Oryctolagus cuniculus: one gene and its partner. The main gene of each other region encodes a partner of the protein of the gene in region 2 in a complex. Links are inferred from orthologs where the notes say so. Each region holds a gene or a part of one and is shown on either strand. Other genes may lie near its edges.

The links.
Region 1: the proteins of ITGAM (region 2) and PTN are in contact, whole or in part, in an NMR structure (PDB 8VOH), measured with the Homo sapiens proteins. The link is inferred for Oryctolagus cuniculus from reciprocal best matches to the Homo sapiens genes ITGAM and PTN. Residues at the interface, in NP_000623.2 of Homo sapiens: Pro273, Asp276, Arg277, Gly279, Val280, Ile281, Arg282, Tyr283, Lys306, Pro307, Arg309, Asp310, His311, Ala334, Ile335, Glu336, Gly337, Thr338, Gln339; in NP_001308315.1 of Homo sapiens: Val56, Pro57, Thr58, Ser59, Asp61, Cys62, Gly63, Leu64, Thr66, Glu68, Thr79, Lys81, Thr82, Gln83, Arg84.

What each region holds. Positions count from the first base shown.
Region 1 is NC_091434.1:173,077,235-173,081,727, forward strand, and holds the start of PTN (pleiotrophin), read right to left. Parts: upstream 2,887-4,493; 5' UTR 2,539-2,886; intron 1-2,538.
Region 2 is NC_091450.1:5,927,035-5,931,469, forward strand, and holds the start of ITGAM (integrin alpha-M), read right to left. Parts: upstream 2,867-4,435; 5' UTR 2,757-2,866; coding exon 2,729-2,756; intron 1,626-2,728; exon of another isoform or gene 1,623-1,625; coding exon 1,517-1,622; intron 1-1,516.

The DNA of each region.
Region 1 (4,493 bases), on a different chromosome or scaffold from region 2:
AGCAAAGAGGTTAAGGACCATGTCCCTTATTATTCTGCCATATTAACAAGCTTGAGACCTGCAAATTAGATTCTGGATTCTGACTTCTGGTCCTCAGTCTACTTATCACTTGATTATTAACGTATTAGAGGATTATTAATGTATTACATGGTTATTAACTTATTACATGATTATTAACTTATTACATGATTCTGAAGAAGCCCGTTGCCTGGGAAGTTTTTGAGTAGCCATAAAACCACCACACTGCAACTAGGAAAATAATCGGAATTCAAGTGAGATTGTCATTTAAATGGAAAAAGAATATGTTCAAAGAGAAATAAAACATTCACACTTATTTTATTCCTAAAATTGATTTTGCTAATACAAGTGATTGTGAAACTTTAAGAATCTATTTCTCTTATATTATCTTAAACGATGACTTTTTGTGAAAATTCAGGTCATTGGCTTTACTGGAACAATGGTAATAAAAATCCCCATTTAAAAAATGCAGGTCTTGCTACAGTTTGCTTTTTGTAAAGACCACATAAGGCACATGGAAACTTGCGGTAAATTAATGTTCCTTGTACCAAACTCCATGGAAAGAAATCTAGGGTAAAAGAAAAATAGTATATGATATGCTATACTGCATATAGTTAAATATGGTTTATTATGTTCATTCCCTGTAATACAAAGTCAACAGTTAAAAAGCCCCGTGTTAGCTGCAGCTTGCTCTCTGTCGCAGCTCTGGCTTTGAGAAGGCGATGCATTTGTGTCCACAAGCAAACCACTGGGGCACAGCTCTGCAAGCAGCTGTACAACTTCATCCCAGAGAGGTTTTTCACGAAACTGAGAGGAAAAGTGTCCTGGGCTTCAAGTAGTGGGAGGGGAATGATCGCCTGTCCAAATTCAAAGTATACAGCCAGAGACCATAAAGCATGGAAGTTTCTTAAAGCACAGAAAATGGTGTTGGATGTTTTTCAAAGCAAATATAATACCTAAAAAAACTTTTAATTTAAGTAATAAAGTACAAATATTGCCACTCTAAAATAACGCATGTCCCAAAGGGAGAGAAAGGTAATATCCACTCTCTTTTCCTTTGAATTCAGCTGGTCTTTAACCGCTTTTTATGACTTAGTCTTTAAAGTGCATAATCAACTTAGAAAGGAACAGACCAAAGATGGGAGACACAAGCTTGGTTTTCAGTGTGGATCACCTTCCCTTTTGTTTCACTCCCACTACCTCTTAATAGTCCTGCAAATCAATTCATCCCCAGATGATTAAGGGGCTAACATGCACTCTGCTGTTTCATCAATTCCACATTTGAATGAGATCATGAAGTGGCTCCATTATGTTATTAGTTACAAAGCTCTTCTGGGTGGTTCCTGACTCTCCTCCCAGGCCCTTCCCTCCAACACACACACACACACACACACACAGAACCTCTTTCTCAAGCTACTGCTAACACATGCCATGACAGCTCAACTACTAAAAGAGCAAAACTACTAGAATTTGGCACTTCCCTCACATTGCTCATTTCCTCCTCTCGTGCGCCCCCAACTCCACACCTATTGTCTCAGTGTATCCCCCAATTTCACAAAGCAGCTATTAGACAGGGCTAAGGTAACAACAGAGTGTATATAAACTCTGTGTGTATTCTTGAGTGGATGTAGGTGTTGTGTTGTTAGGTACAAGGGTGTGTGTGTGCGTGTGTGTTAAGAGGAGAGGGAGTTTTATGTTCTGTACATTAAGTAAGGAAAGAATTTGGTACATTCCTCTCAAAAAATATTTTGTTAAGTTATTAGAACAGTCAATTCAGAAATTGATGGTCTAACAAAGTATACCTGGGGTAACAAACATACCCTAGCTTTCTGTGGGTAAAGGGAAAAGGGCAAGCAGGACAGTGCAGGACAGGGATCAAAGTCGGCAACCAAATGAGCAATGGGGAACCATGGTGCATCTTGGAAAGTTTGGACTTGACCATTTCTCGAAGTGTTCCTGGCTGTCAGGCAGGATTGACAGTGCCAGCTGCTCAGTGTCACCAGGCAGGGGGACAAACAAGCCCCCACACGTCACCCAGAAATGCCAGCTAAGGGTCATCCGCTGGCAAGCCCCCGGGGTACTCCGAGAAGCAGAAAAAGAATGGGAAAATGAGACCTGCTCACAAGGGCTGCCTTCCTGCCTCCTCTCTACTGAGTCACACACACACACACACCTCCCAAAGCCTCAGGTTTGACAAAGAGCAACCATGCACCCTGCAGCCCACCCTGGCAAGCTCTGTAGCAGTCAGCTGGAGCAGCCTCCAAACGCAGGCTTCCCACGACAAAGGCTTCCCTCCTTCTGCTCAGAAAAGCACACTCTCCTTAAACCTGACCTGACAGCCCTCCCAAAAACATGCCTCAGTCTGCAGTAAGTCAGTTTTGAGAGCAGTCCTATCAGCAACCACACCAGGCAGCCCCTCTCCCACTCCCAGCACCTTCATCCGCTGGCAACCAGAAAAGTGGCACAGGGTGCAAGCACACTTAAGCCCCCTGGGGGAAATCACACATTCCCTCCGCTTACTTTGAGCTGCAAATGTCCTCCCTGGCGCTCAGGCTGCCTTTGTTGGAAGGGGCGAGGTTTGCCGCTGCTGGAGTCCAGGTACCCTGCGCGCTGCTGCTCCTGCCTGGGCGGCCGCTGCTCTGCTCTTCTGTACAGACGACTCACTGGTCTCTTTCTTCCTCTCTCTCCACTTTGGATTTTCCTGTGCTCTGGGGCTCCCTTGGCGGGATTTTTGGACTGGAAGGCGGGGAACCTGATCTGCTTTTGACTCAATTACGCCCTGACAGGGAGGGAACGGAAGGGAAATGGAGAATGGGAGGGATGGGAGAGGATGCAGGCTGGGCGAGGGAGGGAGAGTGCTTTTCACCCGAGAGCTGATTGGGAAGCTTATTAAAAGCAGGCTACTCCAGGGGCAGTCTCTCCCCGTGGAGCAAGAAAACGGATTTGAACCAAGAAGCCAGGAGATGTAAGACTGTATTGTTTTTAGCAGAGAGACGGAACACAGTCTAGCTTTTGCAAACCCCATGCATGCTCGGTGCTTTCCGGGGGCGCATTCCCCAGTTTACCAAGTTAACCTATCACACACAGTGACATTTTAGGTTGCAGTTTTGGCCCCTGTCATTTTTTAAAAATAATATTCAGGATGAAAAAAACAGCTTCTTGTTCTTCCCCACCCCCAAACGCCCTCCCTACACAGAAGAACCCCAGCCAAATTCAGCTGTCAGTCCCAGCCCACCTGAGCCTCCCAAAGTGTGCAGAGTACTTTTCTCCATTGTCACAGAGTGACAGATGTCTTCAGGTTCCTAATTAAGTGCTGCTTTCCTTTAGGTTTTTTTTTTTTTTTTTTTTTTTTTTGCTTCTGTGGTGCTTTTATGAGCCTTTGTAATGATAAGCCTTTGACATCGACAAAGAATTTAGGGGATTGATCAATGGAGCTCAAATGCTAGGTTTTATAGAACTCAGAGGCTGGGCTCCTTGACTTTCAGGAATTCCATCTCATTCAATGGAAGAAAGATGCTGAGATAGTAGAATTGGGACTGCTGAAGTCATATGTAGATGAATATTTATGGCATAGATGAGATTAAAAGTGTTGTATGAAATGATTCAGACTTACAAAGCAGATTTCCACTAACATTTACAGAAGTGAATTGTGAAGTGTTCTGTCTCTTGTCACTTCTTTCCAGCTCCTTCCAATGCTCCTTTTATGTCCTTGCTATCACCATTTGGCCACAGCCCACATGCCGGCTGCACCCCCCCATTTGGTTGTGGTTTGTTTGTCCATTTCTGTGGTTCTGAGCTCACGTCCTTCTATTCAATTTGACAAATATTTGTTAAGTACCTTATTTAACTCTTTTCCATTCACTTAAAACCACCCCTGACATCCCAAAGTAGAAGCACTGTTTTGTGGCAGGTAGCTTTTCAGGGATCTGAGGCTCTTCCATCGATTGCAACAAGCAGAAGTGTCCCACGGAGGAAGGAGTCAACTGGGGGCCAAGAAGCAGCTCGGCAAGTAGAGCTTTTAATCAATCAATCATTTTTTTTTTATTTTTTTTTCCACAAGGAGGTGCATCAGAAATTCCATTAGGCACTTTCTATCTATCCCCTTAAGGAAACTCTCCAGACACAGGGCGTACACCAACCTCCAATGAAACACAGATTGCAGCTTCCCTGTTCTCACAGGAGCCCATTCTCCCCGTGAAGCATCTGCTGGTAACTACCGACTGGAGGGATGCGCATGACCTTGACTAGGGTTATTTTTCCCAGACCCGTTACTGAAAGTGATGTCTCAGGGTTTCCCACCACTCTGCAAGGGCCGAGTTTCCTTCCTAACCTGTATCTTCACATCTACAGGTGAACATGTTGCCACCAGTCAGGTGGACAACGCAGGGCTGATCGTGGTGCCCATTGCTAAAGGTCATAAAGGAAGCATGAGATTCTCATTATTTCACTCAATTATATGCATTATATCAAAATAG
Region 2 (4,435 bases):
TCTGGGTCTCCCACGTGGGTGCAGGGGCTCACGGACCCAGGACATTTTCCACTGCTTTCCCAGGCCATAGCAGAGCTTGATTGGAAGTGGGGCAGCAAGGACATGCGATGCCAGCACTGCAGGTGGCAGCTTTACCCACTACGCCACAGCGTCGGCCCCTGCTCCATTTCTGATCCAGCTCTCTGCTATAGCCTAGGAAAGCAGTGGAAGATGGCCCAAGTTCTTGGACTCCTGCACCTGCATGGGAAACCTGGAAGAAGATCCTGGCTCTTGGCTTCGGATCAGCTCAGCTCTGTCTGTTGCGGCCATTTAGGGAGTGAACCTGCAGATGGGAGACCTCTCTCTCTCTCTCTCTCTCTGGCTCTACATCTCTCTGTAATTCTGTCTTTCAAATAAATAAAATAAATCTTTTTTAAAAATGAAGGTAATTATCCCTGCCGTAAATGTTATTTCTATGAAGGTCAGCATTTTAGGCCCTTGCCTGCTGTGAAATCGCTGTCACAGCTACTTGATTTGGCCACGGTAGCAGCACAAGCAAGTGACAAGTGGGCGGGGCCGTGCCCAGGAAAAGTCATGTACAAACAGAGGTGCCTGCAACAGGCAGGCTGCCACGCACAGGGAACATAAGCGACCAAGTGCGTGCAGGGTCGGGTAAGGGAGGTGACCTCTGCAGGTGTGGAATCTCTCTAGGGGAACACACCAGAAACAATCAGCCAGCCTCCCTCCTGGGAAGGGAACTGTGGGAGGAGGGTGAGAAAGAGGATTTGACTCATAACATCCTTTTATAGACTATTACCCAGTCTAAAAAATCAACACAAGACAGCCTAGGGCTGCCACTTGGAACGCCTGTGTCCCACATCAGAGCACCAGTTCGAATCCCAGCTACTCTGCTTCCTACCACTGCACCTGGGAAGCAGAAGATGAGCCCAAGTACTCAAATTCTCACCACCTACATGGGAGACCTGGACAGAGCTCCTGGCTCTTGGCTTCAGCCTGGTCCAGCCCTGGCTTTTGTGATCATTTGGGATTGTGAAACCAGTGAATAGAAGATTTTTTCTCTACTCTCTGTCACTCTGCCTTTCAAAATCAGTAATTTTTTTCTAAGATTTTACTTATTTTTTTGAGAGGCAGAGTTACAGACGGAGAGAGGGAGAGATGGAGAGAAAGGTCTTCCTTCTGCTGGTTTATTCCCCAAATGGCTGCAACAGCCAGAGCTGGGCCAATCCAAAGCCAGAAGCCAGAAGCTTCCTCTGGGTCTCCCATGTGAGTGCAAGGGCCCGAACACCTGGGCCATCTTCTACTGCTTTCCCAGGCCATAGCAAGGAGCTGGATTGGAAGAGGAGAAGCCAGGTCTCAAACCAGTGTCCATATGGGATGCCGGCACTGCAAGTGAAGGCTTAGCCTACTACGCCACAGTGCCAACCCCAGTAATTTTTTTAATTGATTTGTTTTCCACATGAATTTAAGTCTCAGAGATTAAGTGCGTGAGGGAGGGGACTCTGTGCAAGATGCTTACCGGGAGCCTTCAAACTGGACCACGCTCTGCCCGAAGCCCTTCTCGTTTCTGCTGAAGGTCATGGTGTTCTCAGTCTCCAGGTTGAACCCATGACACAAGGCCACGGCTGGAGGGAGAACAAGGGGCGAGGATCAGTACAGGAAGGGTGCACCTGCCTGCTCCGGGCACCTTCCAGTCCAGCTTCTCCAGCCCCGGCCTGGGAAGTCTACACCTCCTGCCCTCCTCTCTATAGAAGCCCAGATAGCAAATGTTTCAGCCTTTGTAGGCCAAGAGGCTCCAGGAAGCTCATGGAAAAAAGAAAAAAAAAACTATGCACAGATTTCAAAATTTTTTGCACCCCCAAAACTTCTCTTTCAGTTCCACTTTTCCAAGGACTTGGTGAAGTATCCTGTAACTTTGTTAAGGGAATTCAGAAATGGATTGCTGAGTACAATTCTTTTTGAATACAGGTTTGTTAGTGAGATAAATGGGGTTCCGGAGGGTGGTGGAAGACAGCGTTTCACAGAACGAGGGTTCCTCCATCATGGAGTGGATTTGCCCATGTTCCATCTCCAACCCTGGCTCATAGCCTCCGGAGACCAGCGTGGGGTGGACTCAGCCAGCCTCTGAGAGCACACCAAGGAGCTCTTCCACTGGTACCAGCACCCCAGTGACTTGCCCAACGGTCAAGTTCCTACAGCTTTACTCTGTTTGACAATTTCCTTCCTACGTGGCTCCAATCATTTCCTTCCCTTTGTGACCCATTCCCCACTGCCCCTCCCCAACAAAACATGGGCATAAAGAGAAACAGGAATCATTTTGAATCATCTGTCATTCAACAAGCATCCATACTCGGGTCCTTGGGAAATGGGACCAGTGGGAGGTGGCGGGGTCTGGTGGCATCCAAAAAGAAACACCACAGCAGAAGAATCCAGCAGCTGTGCACCCATGGGTAGCTCACCTCACCTCTCTGGGCCTCTGTTTCCTGATATGAGAGGTGAAGGGACCAACCAAATGGCCTTGCACCGTCTCTGCCCCTCCTGGCCATCCCACCTTGCTCTCACTCTACGCTCTGATGGTCCTCCATCCATCACCCTCCCCCAAATCCCCTTTGCCTGCAACATCCAACCCCGACATACTCATCTCTCAGCACCCACAAAAACAAAAAATTCCCCTCCTCCACCCTGAGCCCCTCAACCCCACTCCCTCCCCCACCCCAAGCCCCAGGTGCACCTGTTAGCAGAAGGATCCTGTAAGTCATGGCTGGAAGAGCCAGGGGCCTGGAAGGAGTGAGAGTCTTGAGGTCGTAGGCTCCACTGAGCCACTTCAAGGAAGCCACCAAAGCCAGGCAGACCAAAAATAGAGAAGTAGGAAGCAGAAGTCTGCAAAGACCCAAAGGAAGAGGGCGGAGGCCCTGTGAGCACCAGGCCATGCCTGACCTCACTCCTGGGACTGCATACAGCCCCCTCTCCCTCCTGACCCCGCTTCCTGGCCCAAACCACCAAGATCACTATCCAAAAGGTGCCATCTGTCACCTGTTTGCTTCTAGGGTAGGTCAATTGCAGTGGGGGAGATGCTGATTCGTCTGATGATATCAGTTCACATTGCACACTGTACCCTATGAATACACACCGCGACTGTCAATCTCCCCCTCCCAAAATTGTTTCAATGCTTTTAAAGTAAAGAAAAAAAACAAAGCTGAATGGATCGGGGTGGGGCTCCTGGAGTGTGTATCTGAAGTATGCATGTGGATCAAATCAGTATGGAAGGCCAGTCTCTATGTCGCTCAACAAGATGCTTTGCAGGGGCTGGCAGTGTGGTGTAGTGGGTAAAGCTGCAGCCTACAGCACCAGCATCCCATATGGGCGCCGGTTTGAGTCCCGGTTGCTCCACTTCCAACCCAGCTCTCTGCTATGGCCTGGGAAAGCAGTGGAAGATGGCCCAAGTGCTTGGGCCCCTGCACCCGTGTGGGAGACCCAGAGGAAGCTTCTGGCTCCTGGCTCTGGATGGCCCAGGTCTGGCCATTGCAGTCATTTGGGGAGTGAACCAGTGCAATGAAAGATTTTCTCTCACTCTCGCTCTCACTCTACCTCTCTCTGTAACTCTTTCAAATAAATAAAATAATTCTTTTAAAAAAAGATATATGTGTGTTGAAGACAGGTATCGTGGCTCAGCATGTTAAGTGTGTTAAGCCCACATCCCATATCATGGTGCCTATTTGAGTCCCAGCTACCCCACTTCTGATCCAGCTTCCTGCTGATGAACCTGGGAAAGCAGCAGAAGGTGGCTGGGTTCCTGCCACCCATATGGGAGACCCAGATGGAGTTCCAGGCTCCTGACTTCAGCTTGGTCCAACCCTGGATGTTGAAGGCATTTAGAGGGTAAACTAGAAAATCTCTCCGTCTCTCTGTCTCTGTGTGTGTGTGTGTGTGTGTCACTCTTTCAAATACATAAATCTCCATATGTACATATACATATATATGTGTGTGTGTGTATGCAGGCAAAACAAAATCAGCTATTTCCAAATTGGGAGGACTGTGAGTAAGTTCCAGTTATCTATAGCTGCACAGCAACCATTCCAAACTTAGCAGCTGAAAACAGCAGTTTCTCACTCACGGTGCTGTGAACTGCCTGACCTCAGAAGTTCTCTCTGGAGTCTTTCACATGACTGCAGTCAGATCAGGAACCAGGGCCAGACTCTTCTCACTCGGGCTTCCCATCTCCCAGTCACGCTCACGGCTGGTGCCTTGCTGCCTGCTGCAGGAGCTGTCCCCTGGAGCCCCTTGCCTGTGCCCTCTCCGATGGCTCTGGCTTCTCCCAGCACGCTGGCTGCATTTTCAGAGCGAGCGTTCCTTCCATAAGGCAGGATGGGAAAGTTTCCAGTCTCTTTGGATTTTAATCTGGAAACGGACAGTACCGCTTCTGCCACATTCTACTGCT